4 linked regions of the Lonchura striata genome follow. The protein of the gene in region 1 interacts with the protein of each later gene in a pairwise test. Links are inferred from orthologs where the notes say so. Each region holds a gene or a part of one and is shown in the gene's direction. Other genes may lie near its edges.

Region 1 (7,955 bases):
TTTCATCTAATTTCTGCTTGAAATCACTTCTTGACTGCAGTGCAGGATTCTACTGTGTAATGTCCCTCACTCTGCTAGACAACAAGATAATGTGGCAGAGGCAGAAGTGTTTGGCTGCAGCAGAAGTCAACACCTTGTAGCATCACAACCAATGGGCAAAAGGAACATGTGTGACTTAGGAAAGGCTTAATACTTGAATATGCCTGGAGTCATTCTTATCTGCATCAAACAAATGCTCTAGAACAGGCAAAATCTGGAATTCCCTTCAGCCAATCTGTGGTATTCCTATTTTAAGGTCTCTTAGCAAGTCTTCAAATCTTTAGTAAAAATGTTAAGAGTTGTGGAGCCTACCATGCTGTATTACAGAGTTTTTTCTACTATTAGCTGAACCAATCTACAAAGGGTGTTGAGAGGTTATCCCAAGAGCAGAGCAAAGCAGCAAATCATCTTGTGATTCAGAGTATTGGATGGGAAACATCCATTCTCATCTAAGCAAAAAAGGACATTTGATTCTACAGTTCAGCCACATACATACTTTACACCAAAACAGGAAAAGACATCTTGAATTTCCTGAGATGCAAGAGTATTTTGGGAGAATGCCTAATTTGGTAATGCAGTTTTAAGTTGTGCTTTAAGTTTTTTTGGTCCAAGTTTGAGGAAGGTATGATTTCCTGCTGTGGAATGCTACCTTAGCTGCGGGAATTGTAATTTTCTCTTCTTCCCCCTCCTCCCCTCCTTCCCACGCATTCCCCCTTTGTCCTGTGACTCAGCCCACCCCTCCCCCCTTCCCATGCAGTCCTTTGTCCCAACCCTGCGTTCCCATATCACTCCCCCTTGCCACACGGTCCGGTCCCTCCCCCCCCACCCCTTTACCATCGCCTCTCTGTGCCCAGACGGGGGCTGTAGCCTTGCATGTCCCTGGCGGTCGGGAGGCTTTTTCTTTTCCAAGGAGGACGCCACCTCACTCAGTCTTTTTGGAGTAATTCATACTGGAAAGCTCCTTCTCTTTCTCGGAAAGCTACCTTTTCTACCCTCTCCTCCCTATTCTGGGCTTTGGGGGTGAGGGGATCGAAAGGACACCAATGGTACAGAATTGTAAGCGACGACACGTCAGCTATGGGAGAATTGTTAACATCCTAAGGGAGGCCCTACACATCCATGCATTTCATCAGCTTCCAGCCACGTCGGGCCCCTCTCCTGTAGTATTCCCCTTCAGCTTCTGTGAAGCTTCCCCTTCCCTTTTCCCCACAGACTTCCCCAAACCTTCTCCCTTGGGGATGGCAGCAGCCGAGCCGCCCCAAGCGCCCTGCCGGACACTGTTATCCTCCCTTAGGGGCGGCACTGGCCGTGCCTCCCCGGGTGAGATGCAGTGCACCCAGCACCCCCTCCCAAGATGGCGCTGGCCATGCTACAGGGATCCCATTTTCCCACCTTGACCCTTCTCTTCCACCCCAAGTTTTCCCGCTGGCCCAACCCCTCCCCGAATGGCCCTGCACCATCCTGCAGTGGGCCAGCCCCTATTGGGGGGAGGTGAGGTTGGATTAATCCCTCAGTTCTTCTTCTGGCCCCCCTCTGATGGGAGGGATCACCAGAGGGGTCCCTCTGTTAGAGGACCTCCCTTTGTAAGAGAGCTTGCCCCTTTGCTGTGGGAAAGGGGGGGGGTTCAAAGGGAGTGGAGCTGGAAACCCGGACCAGAGCTCCACTGTTTCTCTTTCCCCTGAAACAGTGACGCCCAGGTTCTCCCCTCTATCCCATCTAAATGTACCTTGCCCAAAGTTCCCTTATTATTTCAATGCAAGTTTTCCCCATTGCTTGTGATAATTTGGAAATAACTCCTTGGATTGAGATATATCTTATAGAAGGAAAGATCATCCTCTCTAATTACTGCCCACAATGGTATGCCAACTTCGCAATCAAATAATCAAATTGGAGAAACCACGTTGCTGTTTGGTGCCTGTTTCTGCTCTGCTAGTATGCGAAAAACCACAAGCATCGCATCATGAATCCTGCTTTCATCCTCGATACAGAATGTGTTTATGATAATTTTGTACTTTGTCTTAAATTGTAATGTGGAAAAAATTTTTGCTCCATTCATTGATTGGTGTATCACTTTCTGATGTCTCTCTACTTACATTTTCTCAGTAATTTGTAACGTTGCTAATTTGTTTTTACCTCAGAACTCCCTTTCCTTTATGTAAATTCAAAAGACTGAGCTGCGGGGTTTGTAATTTTCTCTTCTTCCCCTCCCATTCCCCCTCTCCCCTTCCCACATGTTCCCCCTTTGTCCTGTGACCCAGCCCACCCCTCCCCGCTCCCCCGCGGTCCTTTGTCCCGACCCTGCATTCCCTTATCACTCCCCCTCACCACGCGGTCCGGTCCCTGTCCCCCCCCCCTCCCCTCCTTTCCCATCACTGCTCCTACTTCCCTGGGGTCTCCAGGGCTCCGGGGTCTCCAGGGCTCACCCTGTCTCCTGCCCTGTCCCTATTGGCTGTGGCTCAGGTTCCCCCACCCTGGGGTATAACCGACCCCTGGGTCAGTGTCCGTGGTCTCGGGGACACACTCCCACAATAAACACGTGTCTGCCCCCGAGCCCCGTGTCATCCTTCCGTCTGTTCCCACACTAGAACTGAGCCTCGCAGAGCAAAAGGGGAAAAGCGGCGCCGTCTCTCCCTCCCGCCATGCTCCCGCAGGCACCTGCCCAGAGCCGGTCTCGCACGGCAACACTTAGCAATACCTTTAAAGTAGTAAATGTCTAGGATGTATTCTTCTTTAGCTGGGGCCAAGTAACTTAAAGGCAAAAGGTACTGAATTATTTCATTGATGTACATTCACAAACTATGCCAAGTTACTCTTCTTGCATCTTCCGACACCAAACCCCTGCATCTCACTACAGGCCTCTGTGACACCTCATGTCTCATGGATTGGAGCTCCAGCAAACCACAGCTGCACGGCCAGCACCTGCACTCCCAGACCCTAGTTGGGAAACTGGTGACCTTCTGCATGGACCTCTGGAGATCACCATCCAGGCTAAGCCTTCTGCCAAGGGAAGGTCAGCTAGAGCAGGTTACACAGGAACATGTCCAGACAGGTTTTGAATGCCTCAAGAGAGAGAGAATCCATGACCTTCCTGGGCAGCCTGTTCCAGTGCTCTGTCATGCTAACTGTAAAGTTCTTCCCCATGCTGAAGTGGAATTTCCTGTCTTTGAGTTTATGCCCATTGCTCCTCGTCATGTTACTGGGCACCCCTGAAAAGAGGCTGGCACTATCTCTTTGTGAAAAACGCCAGTCACTTGTTTAGTTGATAAGTTTAACAGGAATAAAATAGCTATTAAAATAGTAGCAAAAATTAGAGCAGTAAGTATTTGGACAATAAAAAGCAAAGAATTATGGATGTCTGGGTGCCTTGCACTCTGCCACAAAGCACACCTTGCTAAATAAGGATTACCCCTTAAAAGCAATAGCCTGTTGCGTATTCATAATCTCATACATGATTTAAAAATTCAAACAAAGGATTTCTTCTGCTTAGAAGGATTTCTTCTGCTTACTCCCACCTTCGTCTTGTAAATTAGTCATGTTGGTCCCTTGGAGTCTGCGTCTTCCCAATAAGGAGGCAGTAATTATTCTCTTGGAATTTTAGTGTCTTGTTGCTGTTATCCCTATGCAAAGAATTTCTTAATTATCCATTCCTTGAGCTACTTGTAAAAAGAATCTTACATCACATTTCTATTTTAATATGCTATTGCCTAAAACTATATTTACCACATTACTTAAAAGAGATTAATACAGCATAACTTTCCAACATAACACCTATAGTATTCATTTTAATATTTGCGAAGAGCCAATCATGTAATATGCATTTTTCACACTCTTTGTATCCACCTTTGAGATATTCACATATATTGATGAATCCCCTCTCAGGCTTCTCCAGACTAAACAGGCCCACCTCCTGCAGTCCCTTCTCATACGAGAGATGTTTCAAGCCCCAAATTGTCCTTGTGAGTCCCACTGGACCCTCTCCAGTAGCTCCTTGTCTCTCTTGTACCGAGGAGCCCAGAAGTGGACGTGGCGCTGCAGTGTCCTCCCAGAGTGCTGTCCGTGGAGGCCGGCACAGCCCGGAGCCGAGGCGGCGGCCGGCACAGCCCGGAGCCCAGGCGGCGGCGGCCGGCACATCCCGAGCCCAGGCGGCGGCCGGCACAGCCCGGAGCCCAGGCGGCGGCCGGCACATCCCGGAGCCCAGGCGGCGGCCGGCACATCCCCGAGCCCAGGCGGCGGCCGGCACATCCCGAGCCCAGGCGGCGGCCGGCACAGCCCGGAGCCGAGGCGGCGGCCGGCACATCCCGGAGCCCAGGCGGCGGCGGCCGGCACATCCCGGAGCCGAGGCGGCGGCCGGCACATCCCCGAGCCCAGGCGGCGGCCGGCACATCCCGAGCCCAGGCGGCGGCCGGCACAGCCCGGAGCCGAGGCGGCGGCCGGCACATCCCGGAGCCCAGGCGGCGGCCGGCACATCCCGGAGCCGAGGCGGCGGCGGCCGGCACATCCCGGAGCCGAGGCGGCGGCCGGCACATCCCGAGCCCAGGCGGCGGCGGCCGGCACATCCCGAGCCCAGGCGGCGGCCGGCACATCCCGAGCCCAGGCGGCGGCCGGCACATCCCGAGCCCAGGCGGCGGCGGGAGCGCTCCGCTGGGAGTCGCGCGCCGCCCCTTCCAGTACCTTCCCCGGTGCGTGCGTCATCACGGCGCGCGGCGGCCGGGCCCAGCCGTTTCCGGTGTCGCGGGCGCGTCGCGAGCGCTCGGTTGCAGCCGCCGGAGCCGGGAGCCGAGCGCGCTGCCCCGCCCCGCCCCGCCCCACCGGGACACGGCGATGTCGGACACAGCGGACGGGCCCGCGGGGGGCCCCCCTGGCTCGCCCACCCGCGACTCGGCCGGTGACTCCGAGCCGCGGATCATCAAAGTCACGGTGAAGACTCCCAAGGAGAAGGAGGAGTTCGCCGTTTCCGAGGCCAGCAGCATCCGGCAGGTGAGGGGCGGCGCGGCGGGCTGCGGAGCCGGCGGGGCGCGCTGGGGCCGGGCCGGGCGGAGCGCCGCCCGGCTGGCAGCGCCGGCCCGCGGCTCCCGGCTCGGCTGCGCGGGGCCCGGGCCCTGCCCAGTGACAAAGCAGCTTCTGCTCGCCCGGGAAGGGACTGCTGCCTTCTGAGGAGGGCGGGGGCAGTGGAGAAATGTGCCGCCTCGCACCCTCCTCTCCCGCTTCTCTGTTACACTGCAGAGGGCCGGTTCGGAAGCTGGATGTAGCTCATTCGTCAACTCGTTGAGTCGTAGAAACGTGGGGGTTGGAAGGAAACATCAAAAATCTTCCAGTTCCCCTGTCGTAGGCAGGGACACTTTCAGATAGACTAGGTTGCTCAAAGCACCATTCAGCCTGGGTTGGAATACTTCCAGGGATGGGCCATCCACAGCTTCTCTGGTCAGCCTGTTCCAGTGCCTCACCACCCCCACAGTAAAGAATTTTTTCGTAATAGCTAATCTAAACCTACTCTCTTTCTCTTTGAAGCTATTGCCCCTTGTCCTGTCAGCACATGTTCTTGCAAACAGGCTTGCCTCATCCTTCCTGTAAGTTCCCTTCAGGTGTTGGAAGGCCACAATTAGGCCACCCCAAAGCCTTCTCTTCTCTCATTTTCTAGCTGTGAGTTGTCCTGTTCAGCTGACTGGCTTTGGTGGTAGTTGTCTCACTGTCTGGCTAACATGACTGTAGAAAACATACACAGTTACTTGTATCTCTGTATTTCCAGTGTTTATTTTGATCTAACACTGTCTTTAAAGACAGTGAGTAGGCCTTGAACTTTGGGAAGTTGTAGCCTTGTACTGTGTTTGCAAAATCTTCAGTCTCCCATACTCTGATGTGCTAGTTACAGATATAGTACTTAGCATGGCATGGTTATGTCAGATAACCAATTTATTAGGGCTTTTGTGCCTTCCTGTGAAAGTCTATGCTCCAGCTGCCTTTGTCTCAAACTAGTGACACCTGCTGATTCATCCACACTGTTTCGTGCAAGTCTTCTATTTTTTCAACTCTTTTAGTAGGTTTGCTGTGCAAGTATTGACTAAAAATTCATTTACTTAAATTAGAAAGCAACAAATCATAGCAAAGCTGCTATCAAAATGTAAAAATGCAGAGACTCCTGCTTACAAAGAATGTAGGTGTTGCTAGATTCAGAACTTCTTTTGTTTTCCATAGGATTTCCCAGTTTTCACCTTGAAATGGCTCTAACTGTGTCAACTTTGTGCTATTCCACATTTTTTTGTGTGACTTTGGTATTGCAGACTTCATAAAAAAAGATAACATGTCTGAAAGCGTCACTTATATCTAGATACAGAACTTGACATCATTCTTTAAGTGTGAGCTGAAGGACACTGATTGGTTAATAGAAGAGGATACAAAAGATTAAGTAAAATCTCCGAAATTTCAAATGTAGTGATAGCTATTCAACTAGACTGTCAGACTTTTGTTTCATCTAGTTGCTGTGAATAGAGAAAATGCTAATATTTCTTTGAGGTTTTTTTTGTCCTTGTGTCTAATCTACATTCAGTTTTGTTTTGCAATGTTGGTTTTTTTTTTTTTTTTTTGTACATCAGTGTTTGGGCTAGAAGTGTCCCAGACCTGAGTTTCATTGAGGTTTTCTCAGCTGCCAATGCACTGAAGCTGCTTTCTTGTCCTCTTGTCTTTTGGCAGCTGCAGTGTTGTGTGCAGTGAGCTATTCTCTCTGCAAGCTTGATCTAGGCATTTCTCCCAAAAGTAAAAAGACTGTGTTTGCTTTTTAGTGTTTTCCACTGCTTTCCCAGCAATCTCAGTCTGAAAAGGGTGCTTTCCACTTCTCTGTTCTCCATATATTTGTGAACAGCAGCAATGCAGTTTTTGTAAAAGTCTTTGCAGTTTTGGGGCTTTTGTTTTGTTAGGATATTTTAAAAGAGAGATTCATAAACTTAATATAACCTGAGGATTGTGTTTGTCCTGTAAAGCAATCAGCCATTAGCTGGGTCCTTTGGAATTAATAAAGAGATTTACTTTAGCTGTGAATCTTGTAATACATTTGACTTTAACAAGTTTGTTTCAGATTTGAATACTGGCGGATCTGCCAGGTTTTCAAATAAACAGTTGTCATAAACTGAAATGGTTGTACAACCTATCAAGCACATGAATTTTTACTGAAAGCAGTCATACAAGTTTAGAAAATTAACAGAGGATACTACTTCAGATGTCTCTGTTGTCTACAGATACCTTAAACTGTGTTTTCTCTCTTGGCACTGCTGTTAAAATATTAGATGTGCGGTTATGACTTAATTCTTGTGAAGTAAGATTTCCCTGCTGGGTTGACCATTGGATTGAAGTCTCAGGCAGTGTAACAGCACAAAAAAATGCGCTGTCCCCATAGAATGACTAATACTGGCTTTTTCTCTTAAACTGCAAAAATGAGCTGTTGATTATAATAAGTATAAACAATAGATGCAATGTTTCTAGAACCAGCCTTGAGAATAGGTTAATCTCAAATACCAGGCGAGTTGCACATCTGTTCAAGTGCATCTGGGATCAGCAAGTGGTTTGTACAGTTGAGATAAGTGGGCCAGTAGCTTGTAGGCTGAAAGGAAAACAAAACAAAACAACAACAAAAAAAGGCAAAAGAAACTCCCTCAGTATATTTTTATAGCTAACATTAGAACTTAAAGAATTGAGCTGTTTATTTCTTTACGGTCATTTCAGGTACTGCTAGAACATGAACCTAGATTTTCTAAGAAAATATTTTGTGTCATCAGGACCAAATTTAGGGCTAAAAAAAATTATATTTTATGTTGTCCCATTAATGTCAACCACGTCTGCAACTTTTCTGTCAAGATTTTTTCCTGTATTGGAAGACTTCAGGAGAATGATTTGTTACTCTGATCCTGTGCTATGCAGCTAGAACA
Region 2 (7,675 bases), on another chromosome or scaffold:
AGCAGCAAGGAAAACTGCTTTTTCCACCTGAAGGACAGGCCTGTTGCTTGGTTAAGTTTCTGGGAGAGAGGGAAGATTGCTGATGGGGAAAGATCGTTGGCAGCTTCCTGTCTGTCAGCAGCTGCGCTCAATTTTGATGCAGCTGTGGCTTTCCAGCAAAGATCTCCCCCTGCACTTGTTGACTTCACCATGGGAAGAAAGAAGTTGTTCCTTTGTGAGATCTAGATGGCAGTGAGTGCCTGATTTCTACACGATAAATTTCTTCAGTGCTTTCTTACAAGATCCAAATCTTATCTGCAGGGACCAGGCCTTGATGCTGCCCTCAGAGGAGAGAGGCGGTGGCACGAGAGACGAGGGGTGCCTTGGGCTGCCTTGGGCTGCCTGGGCTGTGATGCTCTGGGAGCAGGGCTGAACATGGCTCAGGTGCTGAGCTCAGATGTGACCCAGGTGAAGAATTAATTTTTACTCAGGGCTGGATTTAGAAATCCCCTCAGCTGGACCCAAACCTCTCTCTCTGGGTTGCCAGCTCTTTGCTATTTTGAAGAAGGGAGACTTTTGCTTTCAGTCCCCAAAGGTTGGTTGGTTGAACATGAGCTGGTGGCAAAAGGACTGCTTGCCTGGAGGACAGCTCACTTTTGAAGGTTATCAACGGTGATTTTAGGCATTTAACAGTGCAGTTCATGGGTATACCTGAGATGGATCAATGTGCTCAGGGCCCATTGGATATCCAAGTCTCACGAATCTCATCCCACTTGAGCAGTGAGTGTCAGAGAAGAAAACTGTTCTGCTTTCCTAAAAGGCAAGGTAGTCAAAACAAATGGTCCTTGTGTTCAACCCAGCTGCCATTCAGACACTCTCCCCTGTGCTCTGTCTATCCCCTATTTTTTTCCTGTTGCTATCATTCTCTCTTCACTCTTGTTTCCAGCTCTGCTTGTAAGAGATGTAGCCTTTTCTGTACTGGCTGCTCCTCAGAGCAGTGATCTGTAAAAAATATGTATTTCTACTTTCTCAGCAAAGCAAATAAAGAGCTGAGCATCACAGACAGGGCACAGCGCTTCAGGATCCCCCCAGTTGCTCCAGCTGTCTGCTGGCTTTGTTGCTCCATGGGGATGAGTGTTTGAGGGCTGCAGGGCTCAGCTTGGATTCCCATGGAAGCCAGGGTCAAGCTCCTATCAGCTAAGGCAGGGGAAAACCCGACCCTGAGAGCAGAGCGACCCCCACAGCAGTTACGGTTTATCTGATTTCTGAGCAGTTGTCAAAGAGAAACTTCTTTATCAGGACTCTGCCTGGACAGATAGTGCCTTGCCTTCGAGCCTCTCTGATAAGCAGCGGGACTGGGGGTGCCCCTGCACCCATGGGAGTCCATCTGTCCATCTGGATGCCTGTCAGGAATACAGGCAGCAAAGTAAACCTGTACTGCCTGCTGAGGAAAAGCAGCAGAAGGAGTGGCCTGACACTGCTATGTCAGATTACTCCTCTGGACCAATCTGCTCCCTCAGCATTTACCTGGGCTCGAGCAGAGAAGGGGTTGATGTCCGATTTGGCTGAAACAGCCCCATGATGCCCCTCTGGGTTCCTGCTGGGATTTCCTTTTGCCCCATATTCTGCCTTCCTCAGCAGAGTAGATGTCCTTGTGCCAGGCACTCCTGCAGTGTGGTCCACGTTTAGTGATGTTACTAAATGAGTGATTACTCCTGAGCCAGCTGGGAGATACAACAGCCCTGAAAGTTACTACTAAGGAGCAGTTCCTCACTTTAGATTTTGAAGTGTTTATTGTAAGACTGCTCCCAGATTTTTCAGGCATAATGGGAAGTTCTGGGTGTCTGCTCAGGGGTCTGGGTGCACAGTGTCAAGGCAGCCTTCTCCCTCCACCTGCTCCCCGCTCCCCAAATTAATGCCTTACAAAAATCCAACGCAAGAGCTTTGCAGGTTAAGAAATGTGCTTTGCATGTGATTTGAAAATAATGGCAGCACTTCACTGCAGGAGCTGTAAGCAAGACTCCAGGAGCAAACTGTGCTCTCAAATACCTGCTCCTCATTTATTTGCTTCTTTTTGCAAGCGTGTTCTGTTGGAATATATAATCTTTCAGTTTGCATACACAGGATCTATGCAGGAAGAACATTATCCTATGAATCTTTCTCACATTTTATGGAAGGCAAATTTGAGGTAGCTGACCTTGGTATGGTGTCTGTGCTCTCCTCTGCAGATTTAAAATATTTAACTTAAAATCCTGTTTCTCTTGAGCTCTGATAGTCATGCCATGGCACGTTTGAAGGTCAGTGTTCCAATATAGTTTGGCTCATGTGTTGTTCTCTGTTTAAAAAAAGAAAGTTTGTTAACTTTCAGCAGTTTGTGGCCTCTAGCCCAAGATTAGATTTTTTTAATTAGAGCTGATTATTTTCATTGTATGTATTAAGTGGTTTACAGATGGTATTCCTTGGGCATCCCATGGCACTCCACAAAGGGAATGCTTTACTTTTAACTCCTGCAAATTCCAGACTGTTTCAGATCTAGGTCTCCAATCACTTCCATGTTTTTAGGAAGATGGAAAACTCCTCGCCAAGTGCAGCGGGATGTGGGCACTGGCAGAGCACAGCAGGGCAGGAGATGGGCACAGGCTGCCCCCCCCTGCAGGCTTCAGGGCAGATGTACATGAGACAGGGGTAAAACATTTGCTTTGGACTTCCCACAGCTACCAATTGTAAAGTGAGCTCATTTCCTGAAGTGTGCTGCAGACAGAAAAAAATAACAAAACTGTGTGGCAAAACTGCCAGTGCTACAAGTTCTCCCATCAGCTGATGGTACAAGACAGGTAACTCAAGATCTCCCTCCAGATGCAGGGAATGTGCAGCTCCCCTACCCACAGCGGCTCCCCCAGCTGCCGTGGGATCCCCAGTTGCCCACTGGTGGGCATCGCTCTGGCTTCATCCCATGGGGCATCCAGTGCCATGGGGACAAGTGCCCTGGGCTGATGGGAAGGGCAAAACTAGCCAGTGGAGTTTTTCTTCCTCACACGGGGGTTGTTTGTGCACAGAGGAGGGCATGGAACAGGTCAGCGTGTACCCGTGAACAGCGGAGAGTGAGAGGTGCTATTGCAGGGATGGTTTCTGCAGCCTCCAGCAAGGGGAGGCTGATCATCTCCCTCCCGTGTTTGCTCAGCTTCCTATTGATGCTGAGCACTGCCTTAAACAAAAAGAAATTAAAAGAGAGCTGATGCTAAAAAGGCAAAGTAGAAATATGGGTGGCAATAAAACCCACTGCACATGAGCCCTTCTGCACCTGCTTTTTTGAATCTCCTGTTTTTCCCATGCCAGAGAAAAAACCCCGTGCGCAGAGGGTCATAAAACTGAACACGCAACTCAATTCCTCAGTCCAGTGATAAATCCCAGCCTGGAGAGGGGAGGGAGTTGCTGGAGTCTCTTCTGCTGCTTCATGGGATTTTGGTGGAACATCATGCCCTGGGGAAAGTCACTGCTCAGCCCAGATCCCCACTGGGGGCCTCTGCGGACTTTCCACCACATAAAAATAGATTTACCACAGACAACTTGCACTATCAGCCCCAGGAGCGACAAGGTTCTGCAGCACGTCAGGCCCACACGTGCACCAGTTAACCCAGCAGCATTCTGTATGACTGAGAAAAACCTTCACTGCTTTGATAACCTCCTTGTTTGTCATTTTTTCTGCAGTGAACTCAAGGCTGGTTTAATCACAGCCAAAAGGCAAGCAAAAGCTATGAGCCAGCTGAAAGGGAGCTTCTATTTTCTGTCTATATAAGAGCTTTCATGGCTTTTCAGATGTGTACCTTGTGGAGCCACATGTGATCTAAACCCTTTCCCACATTCCCTGGGGCATTTGCACCACACAATGATAATCTGGCCAAGCAAATTGCCTATGCTCTTCCAGAAGGAGTTGATATGTTTCTACCAGGATATATTATCTAACTTAATACATTTTTTTTCACTTCCACTGCAAATATCTATGATTCTGCTTTCAAAAAAACAAAAACACACACACACACAAAAAAAAAAACCCACCAAAAAATAAAAACCCAAAAGACCAAAAAAAGCGAACCCTCAAGCCTGGCATGAGATTCCAGAGATAATTTACTTCTGTGGAAAAAGATGATTCCCCAGTTGGTGAAACATGTACTGACTGTGAGTAGCTGGCTTCTAACCTGACTGGTGAGGGCTTGAGGCAGGGAAAAGCAGTGCCAGTGCTAATGCAAAAATGCAGTTTTTGGACCTAAAATAGGGGAACATTAAGCACTGCTTTTTCACTCTGGAGCCCTCTCAGCATTGGGCAGAGGCTGGGTGGGATGTGTGCCTTGACCACGGGCTGCTGGCAGCACCACCTTCAGTCCACATCATGGGTATTGGGTTTGCTTTCCTGCTTGGGCAAATGCAGGAGATGAAGGCAGAGAAGATTTTAGTTTGGACTGATGAAGGCAGGAAGGCCACAGTGCTGGGCTTTTCTGTTCATGTCTCACTCCCATCAATCAGGAAGTGGTGACGCAGGTTATGGGTTGGGTTTGAGGTTTTGGAAACTTTTCTAAAAGTCGATCTCCTCGCCCCGTCTTATTTCTGAAGTGTGACGCTGTGGTGAAGGCTGGTTGCGAGCAGAGGGATGCCAGCCAAGATGCAGCTCCTTATCAGATGTAACGGGAGGATTTTCCTGGCTATTTGTTTAATCCTCTTTGTGGGATACACAGCACAAGGTAAAATGGGGCGGTTGTTCTCGGTAATCCTCTTTCTGGGCTATGCAGTGGAGGCCAAGTAAGCAACCTCTGAATTTTACAAAATGGCCTTCTTTTGGGGGTAATAAGATCTACTCAGAAAGTCTGTTTTGCTGTTTCCTTCTCTGGGTGTGTGTGTGGGGGCAGGGGGGGAATGCCAAGAAAATGTGTTTTTTACAATTGGAGCATTTCAATTTTTGAGAAAAGACTTCATAAAATATGTTGTTGCATGCGTATATGTTTTCAGTCTATATATCTCAATATATATTTTTCTAAGTGTCCCTTCCATAGTGGTCTGGTTACTGCTGTTACTCAGTTATGAGTTACAGACATAGTGTGTAAGAGTTCTCATGTCATAACTCCTATGGTCTGCTTTCTGGGGGAGCAGGAAAGGAAATTAGTTGTAAGTATGAGGAAACTAAACGGTTTATTCCGTAAAGCATTGCAACATACACCACTAAAATGACAAAAGGGAAATATTGATTCATGATGCTGTGCCCCATGGATTTTTTTTCTCATGAGAGAAAAACTGCTCTTCAAGCATGTAGAGTATCATTTGTCCATAAACCAAAGCTGTGATAGTTAAAGGCTCTCAATATGCATTACCACTCGGAGGCTGATCTTTGAGGGGTTATGACCTGCTTGTTCTATGTTGCTTATTTGCAAATTTTTCAGCTGCAGCTGTTTGTTTTGTTGCCACTGTTATTATTAAAAACCTTCTTAATAATAGGTGAGGAGAAGAAAATAAGTATGAAAAAGGAATATACTGTAGAGGCAGCAAAAAATTAAACCCGTGAGATCTTTTTTCTTTTGCAGAAGAGTGTAGGAGGTAGCTGAAAGTCATCCAGTACATTATGGAAATATATAGGGCAATAGAGAAGTGTAATTACAGAAAGATATTCCCAGGAAACGGAGAAAAAAAATAGATAAATGCCAACAGGTTGAGAATGCACCAGGAGGTTTCTGAACAAATTAATTACATGAGACCAAGAGGAAGGATGAAATGTCACTGCTTCTATCTTTATTATGTGATCCTTCTTTTGTCATTTTGGTGTTTTTTGAAGACCCACATTTTCAGTGACAGCCCCAGTCAGGCACCTGGGGAGCACCAGAACTGAAAACCCAGGTTTACAAAACCTTGTTGTGTCTAGGAGACACCTGAACTGTCTCTCCTCTGGCAAGTGCTCCCAGAGCCTCCATAAACCCCAAACCTGCTCCTTTGGCACACCTTGAGTTTCTCATGTCCCCACCAAAAGTCAGCCTGTTGAAGGGGCAGAGCTGGAACCAACAGAGGAGGGAGAGCACAGGAGACAGCTCTCTGCTGGGTGCCTTGTCCCCAGAGGTTTTCACATTATTTTCACATACCTCCACCTTCAAGGAGAGCTGCAGGAGGCTGAGCCCCCAGGTCCCCCGTGGTTACGCCACACTGTGAGCTGGCGATGAGCCTTGCTGTGACAGCAGTGCTTTCCCATGGACTTCCTGGTGCTGTGTGTGAGGGGATTCCCTGGGATTTTCCATGGACTTCCTGGTGCTGTGTTCCAGATGTGCCTGATGTCTCTGATGACAAAAATGTCACTTAGGATGTCAGTAACCATTTAAAAAAAAAGCCTTCAGGGTTACTTTACTTTTCCGGAGGTTGAGCAATCAGGGCCACGCAAATTACTTTCATCCACTCCTTTAAGCCTTATCAGGTGCTCATAAAGTTTGTAGGACCTGCTGAATAATGTCCTGGTCCTCATGGACAATGTGTGGCTGATTCCATCAGGTGCTCCGATGCAGAGGGCGAGGTACAAGAGGGTGAGGTGCCGGCCTGACACCTGGTCTGCTAATTGCATCGAAGAGAAGGGGCCCTGGTTTTACATGCCCTCTGGTGGGGCCAACAGGATCCTTCCTCCCATGGCAGACCCGTCCTTGTAAGTTCATTTGCCACATGATTGCACCCCAAAATGTATGACTCCTGCCTTGACAGTCCTGTCACAGCATGGCTCGCCCACAGTAACATGAGGCTTTGATGTGTTCATCTAAGAGAGAAAATTGCCACTCTGTGTTTCAGGATGAAGAGATACCAGGATTTGGGCGATATATTCCCTCTCTCGGATGAGGATTCTGGCTCTGGGTCCAACACCGTGGTGGAAGCAGAGCCAGCCTCTGGGTCGGGGCTCGGTGACAATGACAGCTTCTCTGAGGCGAAGCTGCCTGTCTTGCTGGAGAGCCTGCGAGGCAGCGAGCTGAAGGAAAAGCTGTCGGAGGAGGATTTGCTCCTGTAGGGCCGGAGACGTCCTCACCTGCCGCTCCCTCGCCTCTTCCCCAGAGCCTCACCTGACAGCCACGAAGCGGTTTTAAACCAGCATCAATAAAAACTCTGCCTTAAGATTTTTACTGCTTGCACTTACTAAAAGCATTGTTGTTCAGTCTGTAGTGCCTTTTTATGTGTGCGCGTGCAGCAGCCATCCCAATGCGGGGAGCAAGAGCGATGGGTGAGCAGCCAGCTCTGTGGGGCAGTCATCGTGCTCTGAGGGGATAAATTCCAACCCTTTGTGCGCTGGGAGCCGCCTGCACTTTTACAGCAGTCAGCCAACCGCGTTTCCCGAAAACGAGAGCGAAGTCCTGCCAAAAGGAAAGATTTATTCCCGCGGGTGTTTCCTGAGGGGACCCCGCAGCGCTGCCGCCTCCCGGCCGCCAGGCGGCGCCCTCCCGGGGCGGGCGCGGAGCGGGAGGGGCGGTCACGTGCGGCGGGGCGTGGTCCCGGCGCGGGATGGGCGTGGCCTGGAGGGGGGGGGAGACCCGTAAGGTCACATGACCAGGGGCGCGCGGCCGGGGGCGCTGGTGGTGGTGCGCGCGGGGCCGGGGCCGCGGAGGGGCGCGTACCATGGTGAGTGCGGGGGGCGCGGCGGGGGCGCTTATGAGGGGTGTGCAGGGGGCGCGTACCATGGCCAGTGCGG
Region 3 (7,212 bases), on another chromosome or scaffold:
GCTGGTGCCGGTGCCGTGTTCCGGGACCCCACAGGTGAGTGGGGGTTACCTGTGCCCGGGGGTCCCCGTGCCCGGGGGTTACCTGTGTACCTGTGCCCGGGGTCCCTGTGCCCAGGGGGGCTCAGGGATGCCACCCCTCGTTCCCAGGGGAGATGCAGGGCACCCTGCACCGGCTGCTGCTGGAGCAGAGGCAGAGCGAGCTCCGGGCCGGCTCCGTGCTGCTCCTGAGGCAGGTGAGGAGAATCTGGGGGGCTGCTGGTCCCACCCCAGCGGGGTCTCTTCCATCCCTGGGGAATGCGGGGTGGGGGATACAGCACATCACCTGTGCCATTCCCAACCCCGTTGCACCCTGGAAGTGGGAATGTAAATATTAGGATAAGGGGATAAGAGGAACTGGTGTGGTCATGTGGTACGTCCCTGTTCCCGTTCCATAGCACTCTGGAATAAAAAAATATCAAAAATATAAATACAAGAAAAGGATCTCCCACGGTTTTGCACCTCGGATTTTTCTCAGCTATTCCTAAAATGTCACCCCTCATCCTGAGATTTCCATGAATGGGGACCTGTACCTTGGGGGTTTATCCAGGAGCTGTGTCTGCCCTCTCCGCAGGTCGGGGTCTTCTCCCCCTCCCACCGCAACCACTACCTCAACGTGACCCCCAACAACCTCCTCCGGATCTTCCCACCCGAGCCCGAGGGCTGCTCCCCCCGCCAGGTCAGGGGGGCACCGGCGGCCCTGGGGGGCTGCTGGGACCCCAGGGGGGTCTGGGTTCTGGGGACCCTCGAGAGAAGGGGGGGCTGGGTAAATCCCCCAGGAATCCATCCCCGCTGGGTTTTGCAGGTCCCTGGCCTGGCTGAGCTGAGCCCAGAGCCCCCGGCACGGCCCACCCGGGCTGTCCCTGCTCCCGAGCACCGGGGACAGCCGAGGACAGGCGGACCCAGCGCGGAGCAGCGTCCCGGGGGCTCCTCCCTGCGCCCAGCGAGCTCTGATCCCGGCTGGGAAGGACCGGTGGGAACGGATGGATGTGACCTGGGTGAGTCGGAGCCACCCTGGAGGGGAGGAGAAGCTCTCCGGCCTGGGGAAAGCCGGGCCTGGCCCCTGAGCAGTGCCACGGTCACACACACACACGAGTGACATCCTCTGTGCCTGCAGATGACCTGGACGGGCTCCTGGGAGAGCTGCCCGAGGATTTCTTCTCAGCCCCGGCTCGGGTTGACTGCGGCTGAGCCCAGCAGCTCTGCTGAGGGTGGCGGTGCCAGGAGCAGGTGGCACGGCTGGCACCCCCCTGCTGCTCCCTGCGTGTCCGTGGTGTTTGCTGTGGGGCCGAGAGCCGGGGCACCCCGAGGCCTCGGCGCTGCTCCGGGCCCCCAAACCTGCATTAAAGGGCTCTTTGGTTTCTGCATCACCTGTGTCCTCGTGTGTCACCCCTGTTCCTTCCCGGGGTCCCTGCTCCTCCGGGTGTGAGGAGCCGTCTCCCCAGGCTCTCACAGCCCTGCAGGACCAGGGATCCCCAGGTCCCTCCCCGTGGGACGTCCCCACCTCGCGCCCACCAACAGTTTAAGCTGCCCTGCACCCCGTGACTCTGTTTACCACCAGGAGTTATTTATAATCCCCTGGCTCTGGGATTCGATTGCACACCCGCCTGTGGGGCACGGCCCTATTTATATCCCCGAGCTGTGCCCCGAGCCCCCCGCCCTGCCCTGCCGGGTGCCCATGGCCCACGAGAGCTTCGCCTTCAGCCCCTCGGCGCTGCGCTCGCTGCGGCTGCAGCGGGAGCTGCTGGAGCGGGAGGATCGCCGCCGGGCGCTGGCCCGGGCACCGGCCTCGCGCCCCCTGCCCGGGACCCCCCGCGCCCCCCCGAGCCCCCCGCGGCGGCGCCAGCTCTGCCGGGACCCCGCCGTGCACAACGCCCTCTACGCCGGGGACCTGCCCCGCGTCCAGAGCATCTTCAGGGACGAGGCCAGCGCCAATCTGGTGTTGGAGATGGTCAGCGAGGAGCTGGTGTGGTCACCGGAGCAGGGTACGGCCGGCCATGGGGCTGGGGGTCCTTCCCTGCTTCTCCCTCCCCCCCGTTCCCCTGCAGAACGAGTGGGGGGCAGGAAAAGGGGGTGCAGCTCCGGGGGGAGCGGGGCTGGCTGCTCCGGTTTGTGGGTGACAGGGAGTCTGGGGCAGGGCGGGTGCTCGGGGCAGCCCCATGGGCGCCCCACTGCTCCCGCCAGCTCCAGGGTGGGTGGGTGTGGGTGAGGGGGGTCCAGCGGGGTGCGGGCTGTCCGGCAGCCCCCGCTGACCCCCGCAGGGCTGTGGGTGCTGAGCCCCCGCCGGGAGCACACCTCGGCCCTGCGCATCGCCGCCGCCCGCGGCTACGAGGCCTGCGCCCGGCACCTGCTGCTCCGCGGGGCGGCCGTGGACGCCGTGGTGGGGGGCCGGGCCCCCCTGCACGACAGCGCGGCCGCCCCCCACCCCAACTGCGCCCGCCTGCTGCTGGCCTTCGGAGCCGACCCCAACGTGCTGAGCGCCGACGGCTCGGCCCCGCTGCACCTCTGCACCGCGCCCCACAGCCTCAGGTGCGGGCTCACCTGCGGGGTCTCACCTGTGGGGTCTCACCTGCAGGGTCTCACCTGTGGGGTCTCACCTGCAGCCAGGGCGGGCTCACTGCAGGAGGGGCCCGTGAGATCCTCACTCCTGCCCCACCCACGCAACCTGGGAGCCAGGGGCCTGGGGGGTGTCCTGGGGGGTGCCTGGGGGTGTCCTGTGGGTGACAGGTCACTCCAGGGTGCCCATGGCAGCGTCCCGTGGGTGACAGGTCACTCCAGGGTGTCACTGGGTGTCCCTGGGGGTGTCCCTGAGGGTGTCCCATGGTTCCCAGGTGACTCCAGGCTTTCCCGGGGTGTCCCTGGGGGTATCCCATGGGTGACAGGTCACTCCAGGGTGTCACTGGCCGTGTCCCACAGGTCACAGATGACTCCAGGCTTTCCCGGGGTGTCCCTGGGGGTGTCCCATGGTTCCCAGGTGACTCCAGGCTTTCCCGGGGTGTCCCTGGGGGTGTCCCTGAGGGTGTCCCATGGTTCCCAGGTGACTCCAGGCTTTCCCGGGGTGTCCCTGAGGGTGTCCCATGGTTCCCAGGTGACTCCAGGCTTTCCCGGAGTGTCCCTGGGGGTGTCCCTGAGGGTGTCCCATGGTTCCCAGGTGACTCCAGGCTTTCCCGGGGTGTCCCTGGGGGTGTCCCTGCGGGTGTCCCACTGCAATCACGTCTCCCTGGCACGTCCCGGTCGCGTCCCACGGGTGCCGCGTGTCCCCGCCGCGCCCGCTCACCGTTCCCACGCGCTCCAGGTGCGCGGAGCTGCTGCTGGCGCACGGCGCGCGGGTGAACCTGGGCACGCGCGACCGGCAGGTGACGGCGCTGCACGTGGCGGCGCGCCACGGGCTGCCGGCCCACGTGGAGCTGTACCTGCACCACGGCGCCGACCCCGAGCGGCGCACCCAGCAGGGCGAGACCCCGCTGAACGCGGCGGCGGCGGCGGCCGAGCGCCCCGAGGACGCCGAGCGGTTCCTGCGCGTGGCCGAGCGGCTGCTGGCGGCCGGCGCCCGGGCCGGGGCCGCGGGCCGCAAGGGCCACACGCCGCTGCACAACGCCTGTGCCAACGGGCACGCCGCGCTGGCCCGGCTGCTGCTGCGCCACGGCGCCGACGCCGCCGTGCCCAACGGCGCCGGGGACACCCCCATGGACTGCGCCCTCCGCGCCGTGCCCGAGTACCGGGAGCAGCGGCCCGAGGAGATCCTGGCCCTGCTGCTGGACCACGGCGCCCTCCCCGCGCACCCCAAGGTGGGGCACGGGGTGACGGGGGACTCGGGGTGCCGGGGGGGTCACCCCGGTGACACGGCTCTGCTGGCAGATGCTCAGGCTGTGCTGCCAGCACCCGCCGGCGCTGGAGGTGATGCTCAACGCCTACGACCGCGTGCCCCCCGCCGACGGCTGGGCGGAGGCCGTGCCCCCCGAGCTCTGGGAGGTAACGGGGTCCTGGGGGGTCCCGGGCCGTGCCCGTGTCCCATCCCGGCGCACCGAGCCCTCCCGTGTCCCCCCACGCAGGAGCACCGGGAGTTCTACGCCTCGGCCGTGCGCATGGCGGGGCGGCCGCGGCGGCTGCAGCACCTGGCCCGCGTGGCCATCCGGCGCCACCTGGGCGCCCGCTGTCGCGCCGCTGTCCCCGAGCTGGCGCTGCCACCCGCACTGCGCCGCTACCTCCAGCTGCCCATCGAGGGTCTCATCTCCTGAGGGCACTCCATGTGTCCCCGCCGCTGCCCCCTTCTTGCGTGCCCTCCTTGCTCCCCACGAGTGTCCGCTGCCTGTGTCCTCCCCGTGCCCTGCTGTCAGTAAAGGACATGGCAGAGGTGGCTCCCGAGGTGTCCTTGTCCCCGTGGGACCAGCGGGGCAGCGTCACCTGCAGTGGGGACGGGGGAGGAGGGGACAGAGCCCTTGGGTGGCAGGGGGGGGACAGACGGGCCCCGGAGGATGTGGGGGCCGTGGCGGGGGTTACAGCCGGGCCGGGGGGTCCGGGGGGTTCCGGTCCCGGGGGGGCTCAGCCCGGGGTTCCCACGGTGCTCCCGGGCCCCGCCCCGCCGGTGACTCCGCCCCAAGTGGCCCCGCCCACGCCGGCCCCGCCCACTCGGGGCGCGTTCCGCTGGCCCCGCCCACTCGGGGCGCGTTCCGCTGGCCCCGCCCCTCTGGCCCCGCCCCCGGGGCGCGCCCGCCGCCCCCGGCCGCCCCCTGGCGGCGGCGCGCGGTGACGTGGCGCTTCCGGCGGGGCGGCGGCGGCGGGAGGCGGTGAGTGGGGGGGGCACCGGGACCCCCGGGACCGCGGGGACACCCGGGACCGCGGGGCTGGCAGGGACACACCGGCACCCCCCGGGATGGCCGGGCATGGCGGGCACGCACCGGCACCCCCGGGAATCACGGGGACCGGCAGGGACACACCGGGAGCCCCGGGCACGGGTCGGGACGTCCCCGGTTCCTCCCGCCCCGCCATGCCCGGGCCCCGCTGACCGCATCGCTCTGCTCCGTCCAGGTCGGGGATGGCCTGACCCTGCCCCGCTGGGCACCGAGGGGCTGGGGCACCCCCGGGACTCTCCGCCGGGCCCGGTGAGGTGAGCGCAGCGCCGCCGGTTCGGTGTCTCGGGAGCGAGGAGGACAATCCGCAGCGAGGAGCTCCCGTCCCTGCGGTCTCCGGGTACCGGGAGCGGCCCCAGGGTCTGTTGTGAGCCCGAAGGTGGCACCGGGGCAGCCCCGGGGGTCCCCGCTGCCGCCGCGCCGCTCGCTCACACCGGGCACCGGGAGGTCGAGGCGGGCATCGCGGAGATGGAGCCCCCGGCCGCCCCCCTCATCGTGGGGGTGGGGGACGAGGTGACGCTGGTGGCCGGGGTGGCCGTGCTGGTGCTGGCGCTGGTGCTGGCCTGGCTGTCCACGTACGTGGCCGAGGGCGGCAGCCAGCTCCTGGGCACCGGGGACGCGGCCGTCATCCGCCTCGGGCCGCTGCCGCCCTACGCGGGGCCCGCGGGGGCGGCCGAGGCCCCGGAGCCCCCCAGGAGCCCCGCGGGCGCGGAGGAGAAAACGGAGGAGGAAGGGGCGGCGGCACCGGGGGACAGCGGGAGCGGCCCCGAGCCCGGCCTGGAGCAGCTGCTGGACGCGCCCGGCTTGTCCCGGGGCGCCGCTGAGCCCGGGGGCACCGGTGACGCGTGCCCCGGCCTCATCAAGATCCGCCTCAAGTTCCTCAACGACACCGAGGAGGTGGCGGTGGCCCGGCCCGAGGACACCGTGGGGGTTCTCAAGAGGTGAGGGCCGGGGGACGCGGGGAGCGCTGCCGGGCCCCCGCTGCGAACAGCCGCTTCCCACGGGACGGGGGAGGGCGTTCATCCCTCCCGATGTGCCAAAAATACCGGGGGGTGTGGGCTTTGAGACAGCAAGTTCGAAAGAGGCGGCGGTGGCGGTGCCGTGGTGAACCCTCCCCGTTTAACGGAGGGGCTCCCAGCCCGGGCGGGTCCCTCCCCGGGCGGGTCCGGGGTCTCCGCCGCCCCCACCCTCCTCCCTCCTCCCGCAGCAAATGCTTCCCGGGCCAGGAGGCCCAGATGAAGCTCATCTACCGCGGGCAGCTGCTGCAGGACCAGGCGCGCACGCTGCGCTCGCTCCGCATCACCGACAACTGTGTCATCCACTGCCACCGCTCCCGGGGGACCACCGCGGCCACCGCCGCCCTGCCCGAGCCCGGCCCCGCCGGCCCCGCGGCCCCGGGGCTGCCGCTGGCCGGGGGCACGCTGATGGTGCCCACGGTGATGGTGGTGCTGGCGCTGGGCTGGTATTTCCGCATCAACTACCGGCAGCTCTTCACGGCCCCGGCCACCGTGTCGCTGATCGGTGTCACCGTGCTGGTCACCCTCCTGGCCTTCGGGCTGTACGGGCAGGCGGGGTGAGCCGGGGCGGCACCGCGGCCTCCGTCCCCGCGCTGGGTCCCAGCCTCGCTGCCGGACTTTGCCCCCCAAAAAGGGGCTGTGCCCCCCCCAGACTCCACTGCCGGTCCCCAGCCCCAGCTCTGGGGGAGCTGGACAGCACTGGAACGGGCCGTGGCTTCTTCCCAAGGACTTTTTAATGCAAATAAAGGGTGTCAAGTCACCCCAGTGGTCGCCTTCCTGCCCTGGGAGCTGCTCTCCTACCCACCCACACTTCTGGGTCTTATAAAAACAAATCCGGCTCCCCCCCCCCCCGCCCCGTGCTGAATGGAGTGGGTGGAGATGGAGGTGGGAGGGGTAAAGGCCCTGTTTAATTAACGAGCTGTAATTAATGCCAGGGATACCAAGTCAAGATGCAGTTTTATTTACAGGGGCAGCCACAACCCACTCACGGGACACACAGACCTCACAAGGGCTCAGTTCCCCTGCGGGGGGGACGCGCAGAAACACCGGGGGGGGCAAGGACACCGACCTGGGGGGGTCACAGGGCACGGTCTGACCCCCCCAAGCCCCACTGCACCCCTTGGACCCCAAATCGCAGTGCCTCTCCTGCAGCTGAAGGGGCTCAGGATGCCTTTCCCCCACAGCCCCAGCTCGCCATGCCCCCCCAGGCAGTCTGGGGTGGTCCCCCGTGTTTTTGGGTGCCCACAGCTCCGTCCTGGGGCCCCGGGGCACACGAAGGCCAGCTCGGCGTGCTCCGGCGGCCCCGCAGC
Region 4 (7,389 bases), on another chromosome or scaffold:
AGGAAATAAAGAAACACATCCATAAGGTGCTCGAGACAGCCCTTTCTGGGATCTCTTCAGGATCCTGGGTGCGCGACGGTTGTGGGGACCCCGCGGTCCTCCCCCACCCACCGAGATCCCTCGTGACGCGGCCCCGCGGGGACATCCCGAGGCCCATCGGAGTCCCGGAGCCCTCTCCAAGGTGGCGGTGCCCGCGGGAGGAGTCTCCTTTTTCATACCCTTGTTCTCCATGCCCACCTTGTTCATGAACACCTCCGGGTCGAAGTGGGGCCCGTTGATGTCGGTGGGGTCCGGGGGCGCCTCGGCCGCCTCGGCAGTGGACGGGCCATAGTAGCGCTGCAGCGGCCCGTGGGGACGCCGCCACCCCCCGCCCCCGGTGCTCCCGCCGGTGGCCTCGGGGCTGCCTGCGGCCCCGCTCCCGGCCCCGCTCCCCGTCGTCACGGCCGCCATCGCGCCGCCGCTTCCGCCCCGGCAGCCACTTCCGGCCTGTCCATTACGTCACTTCCGGTGAGACGCCGGGTTGCCATAGCGACGGGGAAGCGGCGCCGGACATGGCGGAGCCCAGATCCCGGGGCCTGGGGCGGCTGCCACGGGGACGGGGCCGGCGCGGCCCGTGTCATGCTGCCCCACGGCGACAAGAATCCTCATTCGGACGCAGACATGGGTGGAGACACCGACCCTCGAGGGCTGAGCGGCCGCTGGCACCCTTAACCCCGGGCCCATGTCTCTCACTGTCCCTTTTCACCACTCTCCACCTGTCCGCAGGCCTCCCCAGTGTCCCGCGAGGCCCCAGTGCCTCCTCGTGCTCCTCTCCCCTCACACCGGGTGAGGTCCTGGGGACCCCCACCCTACCCGAGGGTGGCTCCAGGTGACGCTGGAATTGGGCTGTGAGGCTGCAGGTAAAACCAGGTGATCGACCTTGCACCTCGCACAAGGAACAAACATCTGGGCTAAAAGGTCTAAAATCAGCTTTATTTACAGCAGAAAAGGCAAAATAAACCCTGCCACGGTGAAGGCCAGGCTGCTCCAGGGGCCTTTTGTTGGGAGTCACCTGCTCCAGGAATCACAGGCCGTTGATTCTTCCCAAAGGAAAGAGCCCAGACCTGCCACGTTGCACCAGGAAAGCAGGAAGAGCCAGAGGAAGCTCCTGCTGCCTCTTTTGTCCTTGCCTTTCCTGCACGTTTTCTCCCAAATGTGGAAAAGAGAACACATAATCCAGCCAGGGTGTGTTTTGTGAGCAGTTTGGTACATGGGACAACATTCTCTTCATACCTATGGGCCCGAGTTAGCCCAAGGGCAAAGGAATTCCCACTGGGAACAGGGAGAAAGCAAAGGAACACCCAGCCATCCATCCATGAAGAGGGTTTGCTGGAGAGTCTAAATCAGAGGAGAAGGAATGGCTGAGCCCTGCCTGTTACAGGAAAAGAGAAGCAAATAAGCAAACACACCCTCCAAGGTAAAGCAGGGGTTCCTTTTGTACTCTCTAAATGCATAAACAAAACAGCAAATCCCTCCTTGGATCCCCCCACTCCCAAGAGCACTGCGGGGGGAGTTCCACCTCACTTTATTGGCACTACATCTCCCCAAAGTGCTCTAAAAGCAGGATGCCACGTTAACCACAGTTAACTGGACCTTCTGCCACCGGTATTCTTTACCCTGATTTAGTAACTTAATTTGCACATGTGTGGGAAGGTTCTGGAAGGTTCCACACAAGTGCAAATCCATGTGGTTATGGACTGTGGCCCTCCCTTCCCAGAGGGTCCAGCCTGGTTTGCCCACAAGGATGATAAAGACAACCAAGCCAGGATTTAATGAAAGTCCCGCTCTCCTGCATCTCTTCCCTGCTACAATGTGAGAGTATCCAGGCCCAGATCCATTGCTAATTCCACCCGGATTAGCAATGCACAAGTTTCCTTTCACAGTTTCCTTTCAGCCCAGGGATATGGTCTGCAAGTCCAAGGGAAATGGAGAGTGGCCACACGGAATGTAAGTCACACATTGGTACTCCCAAATCCCCTAAGTCAGCATCCTAAATCCTACAGCTCGCAAAGCTCAGCTGGGTTATGGAGTATCCACAAGTCCCTGGATTTGTTAGTTCCTGGTTTTGATCGAGGGAGGTCATGTGGAAGTGGCCCTTAGAAACAGCCCACGGGATGGAGACAAGGCAGGAGGTCACGGCCAGAGCCATGACCCCAAAATCCTGACAGACACGAAGATCCCTTTGGAGCCAAACTTGTTTTGGAAGAGCTGCCTGGGCCCAGCCGGAGCGCTGACAAGCTGGAAGGAGAAGTCACTGGGAAGGTGGAGGTGTGGCTGGAGGCTCCTCTGGAAAACATGTGGCCAGGTCTGTGGATGGTGAGGTCTGGCCTGTGCCACCTGCCAGCCCGGGCTCAGGTCCCCGCCCGGGACACCAGGTAGTAGAGGATGAAGAAGATGAGGACGAGCACCGCGGACACGGTGAGGAGCAGGCGGCGGTTGTCGCGGCCGGAGCGCGCCATGCCGGAGAAGCGCTTCACGCTGCCCGTCAGCAGCCCTGTCACGCTCAGGAAATCCGAGTCCTGGTGGGAGGAGACACCTTGGAGGCATTGCAGGATCATAGAACTTCCCAAGTTGTAGGGACTCACAATGAGCCAGTCCAGCTCCAACAGCACAGGACACCCCAACAATCCCAGTGCTGATTTAGGGCTTCTTCCTTAAGGGCTTTTGCCGTCCCACCTCTCATCCCAATTCCCTGATTTGCACAGAAAGCCCCGTGTCCCGTTTGCCAGGTCCTTACCATGCCATCCAGGTAGCGGTTCTGTTCCTCAGCATCCTTGTCAATATCCAGAGCCAGCTGCAGGGCAAGGCAGGAAATGGGCATTAATGAGCTTTTAATGTCCAGAGAACCTCTAAAATCTGAAATGCAAATTATTAAAACAAGCTGCTGCTTTCCCAGCTCCAACAGACACACAGGGGCTTGTCTGGTGCAGGAACAAGGAAAATGGCATTTCCCTGTCAGGTGAACTTTTTCAGCTCTGAAAATAAAGCCTGGCTGTCTAAATCTGCCAGCTAGAGAAGGTAGTTTAAACCCTGGGACACAATGGCAGGAATTCAGCTTGCCCTTTTACACAGTGAGTCATCAACTTCTTTCATGGTTTGTACTACACTTTTAATAATAATTTAGAGCTTAAAGCTCTAAATCAAAGTGTTTGATGTTAATAGGAGCAAACCAGCATTAAGAACAGTTACACAGAGACACAGGTATTTTCCAAAATTAATCTGCCTGCCTTTTTTCCATTAATTTTTCCCCAAGGATGTGAGCTTAGCAACACTCCTGTGTTCAGGTTAGGCAGGGCTTGGAGCAACCTGGTCTAGTGGAAAGTGTTCCTGTCCATGGGAAGGGGTGGGACTGGATGAGCCTTAAGGTCCTGTCCAACCCAAACCTTTCCATGGTTCTGTGATCCCCTGCAGGACTCCCAGGTAATCAGAGCCTGTCCTTCACCTCAACACCTGCTGTGACCTCGGCACTCACCGACTTCAGCCTGGTGACCTTGCTGGCCAGGCTGTCGGCCATCCGCTTGTTCTCCACATCCAGCAGGTCCTCCATGGCGCTCGGGCTCTGCCCTGGGGAGAAGAACGAGGAGCACACATCATGCCTGCCGTGCCACAGCACAGCTCTGTTCCCACCACAGCCCCTCCACACATGCTTTGTGCAGTGGAACCTTCTGAAAATGTGACCAAAACACCACAGACTTCCCCCAAACAGGCCAGGGTGAGAAGCCAGAATTCAGGGTATCTGAAGTGCCACCCCAGCCCAGCAGCAGCTGTGGGGGTTCCATGGCCAGTGACATCCAGGGGTGAGATTTGGGTGAAACCCGGGGCCCTCTGCCCCTCGGCCGTGCTGGGGTCTCTCGGCATTGCCCCCATTGTGGGGCAGGTTGGGGCTGGGGGGGATTAGGAGTTCTGGGGCAATTAGGGGCTATGGGGGCTCTAAGAGGTATTTAGGGTTTATGGGGGGGGGGGGCTTAGGGATTCATGGGGACAATTAATGGATAGAGGGAGCAATTAGGGGCTCGGGGGGGCAGCCCAGAACCCCAAAAAAGGCACAGGGAGGCAATTAGGGCTTACGCGGTGGGGGGGGTGGGGTGTTATTCCCGGGCTATAGGGGGAGAAATCGGGGCACTGCAAAACGCCCCGCGGGGTTCAGTGGGATCGGGAGTTCCTCCTCCCTCCGAGCCGCTCCAGCCCCTTCTGCCCCCCAAACCTGTCGCTGTCCCTCGTCCCCTCACCTCGGCCCCGCTCCGCCATGGCTGCCCCGGCCCGTCCCGCCCCGCCGGGCGGAGCCGCCACGAAATGTCCGCCCGCTCTTCCTCCTCCTCCTCCTCCTCCTCCTCCTCCTGCCCCCCGGCGCCGGGACCCTCGGGCCGCTCGCCCGGGCCGGGGCGGAAGGGCTGGAATTCCCTCCCGAGGGATCCCGGGCCGCAGGTACGGCCGGCGCCCTGCCCGGGCACAGCGGCGGGACAGGGGCTGGGGGAGGAAACAGCGCCTTGCGGGCAAAAACCGGGGGGTTGGGGACAAATATAGGGCTTTGGGGACTAGAATAGGGGTCTGGGGGCAAAAAGAAGTTTTGGGGAAATAATCAGGGGTTTTGGGGGTGGGGAAATAGAGGTTTAAGGGGAAAATAGGAGCTTGGGATAAAAATAGAGGTTTGGGGGGAAATAGGGGCTTGGGACAAAAATAGAGGTTTGGGGGGGAAGGTAGGGGTTTAGGGATATAAACGGGGTTATGGGGACAAAAAAGGAGGTTTGGAATTTACTCAGATGGTGAGGGAAGGAGGTGGCAGTAGGAGTATGGAAATGGGGATATGCCCAATGATCCGTTGGTTAATGTCATCCCTCCAAAAGCAGAGGTGGATCCCCTCCATCCCAGCCCCTGCACATGGGGATGCTGCCCCGGGCCAGCCCAGCCTCCTGTCTCCGCAACTGTCCGCCTTCCAAAATGCAGGATCTGCCTCTTTTGGTCCCCCCAAAACGCCCCTCTGGGGCTGCGTGGGCAGGAGGGGACAGCCCGTGTGATTCCCAAACCCCGGGAACCCTGTGCCTGGGATCCCGGTTTGTTGAGGTTGGTGTGACCAGCTCAGCCTCATCCTCATGGCAACACGGAAGCCGAACACATGTCCGAGCTCAAATCTGCTGGATTTCCCCCCATGGGAATCATGTCCCAGCGCCCTGGGCTCGCGTGGCTCCGTGAGCCGCTAAACCGGTGCCGTGTCCGAAATAATCCCGCGGTGCTGCGCATCTGCTGGCTGGCACTGTCGGCAGGGACATCCTCGCCCGGCGGTGGCCTGCAGGGATCGGCCATGATCCAGCCCGCCACCAAACCCTCCTGCTCTGCTTCCCACCGCCTGCAGCCGGAGGATGCTCTCCCGCCTGGCTGCCTCGCCGCTCCGTCCCTTGTCACTCCGCGGCAATGTTTCGTGCTTTATTTGTTATTTTCCCCCTGTGCGGCAGCAGAAATCAGGGCAGGCGGGGAGGAGGAGGAGGAGGAGGAGGAGGAGGCAGGGAGCTATTTCAGGGAGCTGCTGTTATCTGCTCCACGTTAATCTCCAGCTGGTGGGGGGAAGGTTTTCCCTGAGTGCTTTCCTGCGAGGGCATATATTAAACATTGAAAAGCAAAGCGAGGAAGAAGAGGATTAGCAGGAGAGAGAGAGAGGAAGTTGGCTGCTGGCTTTGCTCGGGTTATCCATCTGCTCCACTTTTATGGATGCAGCAGTGTGAGCAATATCACTTGGGATTTTTTTGTGTTGTGTTTTTTCCCTCCTTGCTCTCTCCACCCCTTTCTCTCTTCCCTCTCAGAGGTCTGTGTGCCGAGCTGCTTTTCCATCACCCTGGAAATCCCCTTGCTCCTCTTCTTCTGGGGCTGTGCCATAGCTGAGCTGTTGGGATAATGGAGCTCCAGGCTGTGGTGTCCACGCTGGAAAGTGGGGAGCAGGACACGGTTCTCAAGGTGCTCCAGGTCTACAACCAAGAGGTGAGTGAGCATCAACGCTTCCCTCATCTCAGGAACTCCTAAAAAAATGATTATCAAGATCCCAAGTAAAGCCTGGCCTGGAAATAAGAGTCAGGGTGAGGACTGAGTAGGAGGAGCTTTTATGTTAAGGTAGTTTTGGAGGTGCTGAGAGAATCCAGGGAGGGGCTGCAGGTGAAACGATGTTGGGATTTGCAAGTCAAAAGATGATTGGAGGTAACTGCTGGGATCTCATATGGGCATGGCTCTGAAAGCAGTAAATAATGAATGTAGAATGTAGAATATCAAACCCCAATGATCTGGAAGCAGAGATGGAAGTGTTTCTAGCCTTAAAGTAGGAAAAGATAATCCGTGGTGGTAAATCTCTGCTTGGAGAAAGGAGACTGAGGGGAGACCTCAGCCATTTACATCTTCCTCCTGAGGGGCAGTGGAGGGGCAGCTCCAGTGTCTGCTCTCTGAGCAGTAACAGGACCCAAGGGAACAGCTGGAGATGTTTAGGTTTTATATTAGGAAAAAGTTCTTCCCCCAGAGGATGTTTGGGCACTGAACAGGCTCCCCAGGGAATGGGCACAGCCCCAAGGCTGCCAGAGCTCCAGGAGCATTTGGACAGTGCTCTCAGACACAGGGTAGGATTGTTGTGGTGTCTGGGCAGAGCCAGGAGCTGGACTGAATGGATTGTGTGGGTTCCTTACAGCTCAGGATATTCTATGGCTCTGTGAAATCCTGTTTGAAACAGACTCTAGTTGTCAGAGAAACTCGGAGGTTTCCCCTGAGAGGGGCTGGCCCTGTGGATCACTCTGACTCACTCTGCACCAGGCTGGAGTAGGTGGAAGCCAGCAGGGAAAACCTGAGGAATATTTTGCAAGAGTGTGTGAGAGAGGGAGTGTGTGGAGCTATTCCTAACAGTCAGATTTGGAACGGGGAGATATTGGCCAAGAAGGAGCAGGTGTCTGTTAAGGACAGCACTAAGGATTAACAGCACCAGCAGCAGGTGCAAACAGTGTCTGTGTGCCCCCAAACCATGATATTTCCTGTTGGAGTCCCCCAGCTGGGTCCTTCCTGGGGTATTGAGCCTAGGGAACTGCAGCCACAGGGTTTGCTGGCCTGTCTGGAGGAAATGGAGCAGTCAAAGAGGATTATGAATCTGCAGATAAACCTGGCACTGCCTGGCATTGCTTCTGCTGCAAGACTAATGGTTCTGTACGCTTTTCCTCTGGATTTGTTTTTAATTCACTGTTGTGCATGCAGTTTTTGCTTGCTGGGAATATGCTACAGCTAAAGCAAAACCCCAGGTGTGGCCAAAATACCCCCAAATGGGATTACAGCCTGAAAAGAGGATGTGCTGAGGGAACAAGCAGCCTGCTTGTGGAACACGGCAGTGGC

What was found.
Region 2: the proteins of UBQLN1 (region 1) and SRGN interact in binary tests that used the Homo sapiens proteins (3 or more experiments, as listed by UniProt). The two-hybrid records come from large-scale screens. The link is inferred for Lonchura striata from reciprocal best matches to the Homo sapiens genes UBQLN1 and SRGN.
Region 3: the proteins of UBQLN1 (region 1) and TMUB2 interact in binary tests that used the Homo sapiens proteins (3 or more experiments, as listed by UniProt). The link is inferred for Lonchura striata from reciprocal best matches to the Homo sapiens genes UBQLN1 and TMUB2.
Region 4: the proteins of UBQLN1 (region 1) and RIC8A interact in binary tests that used the Homo sapiens proteins (3 or more experiments, as listed by UniProt). The link is inferred for Lonchura striata from reciprocal best matches to the Homo sapiens genes UBQLN1 and RIC8A.

The regions. Positions count from the first base shown.
Region 1 is NC_134642.1:26,244,705-26,252,659, reverse strand, and holds the start of UBQLN1 (ubiquilin-1), read left to right. Parts: upstream 1-4,753; 5' UTR 4,754-4,860; coding exon 4,861-5,016; intron 5,017-7,955. UniProt on the Homo sapiens protein: Plays an important role in the regulation of different protein degradation mechanisms and pathways including ubiquitin-proteasome system (UPS), autophagy and endoplasmic reticulum-associated protein degradation (ERAD) pathway.
Region 2 is NC_134609.1:34,918,737-34,926,411, reverse strand, and holds SRGN (serglycin), read left to right. Parts: upstream 1-4,587; 5' UTR 4,588-4,624; coding exon 4,625-4,715; intron 4,716-6,498; coding exon 6,499-6,646; intron 6,647-6,786; coding exon 6,787-7,000; 3' UTR 7,001-7,144; downstream 7,145-7,675. UniProt on the Homo sapiens protein: Plays a role in formation of mast cell secretory granules and mediates storage of various compounds in secretory vesicles. Required for storage of some proteases in both connective tissue and mucosal mast cells and for storage of granzyme B in T-lymphocytes.
Region 3 is NC_134627.1:8,666,591-8,673,802, forward strand, and holds TMUB2 (transmembrane and ubiquitin-like domain-containing protein 2), read left to right. Parts: upstream 1-4,770; 5' UTR 4,771-4,823; intron 4,824-5,064; 5' UTR 5,065-5,354; coding exon 5,355-5,827; intron 5,828-6,093; coding exon 6,094-6,463; 3' UTR 6,464-6,662; downstream 6,663-7,212. Other genes in the region: HROB (homologous recombination OB-fold protein), read left to right, coding at 1-34, 148-233, 611-715, 842-1,034, 1,154-1,227; ASB16 (ankyrin repeat and SOCS box protein 16), read left to right, coding at 1,715-2,021, 2,298-2,565, 3,332-3,824, 3,895-4,008, 4,089-4,274.
Region 4 is NC_134608.1:53,231,691-53,239,079, forward strand, and holds the start of RIC8A (chaperone Ric-8A), read left to right. Parts: upstream 1-4,377; 5' UTR 4,378-4,464; intron 4,465-5,834; 5' UTR 5,835-5,925; coding exon 5,926-6,009; intron 6,010-7,389. Other genes in the region: VPS51 (vacuolar protein sorting-associated protein 51 homolog), read right to left, coding at 238-450; BET1L (BET1-like protein), read right to left, coding at 2,391-2,558, 2,777-2,833, 3,512-3,603, 4,269-4,287.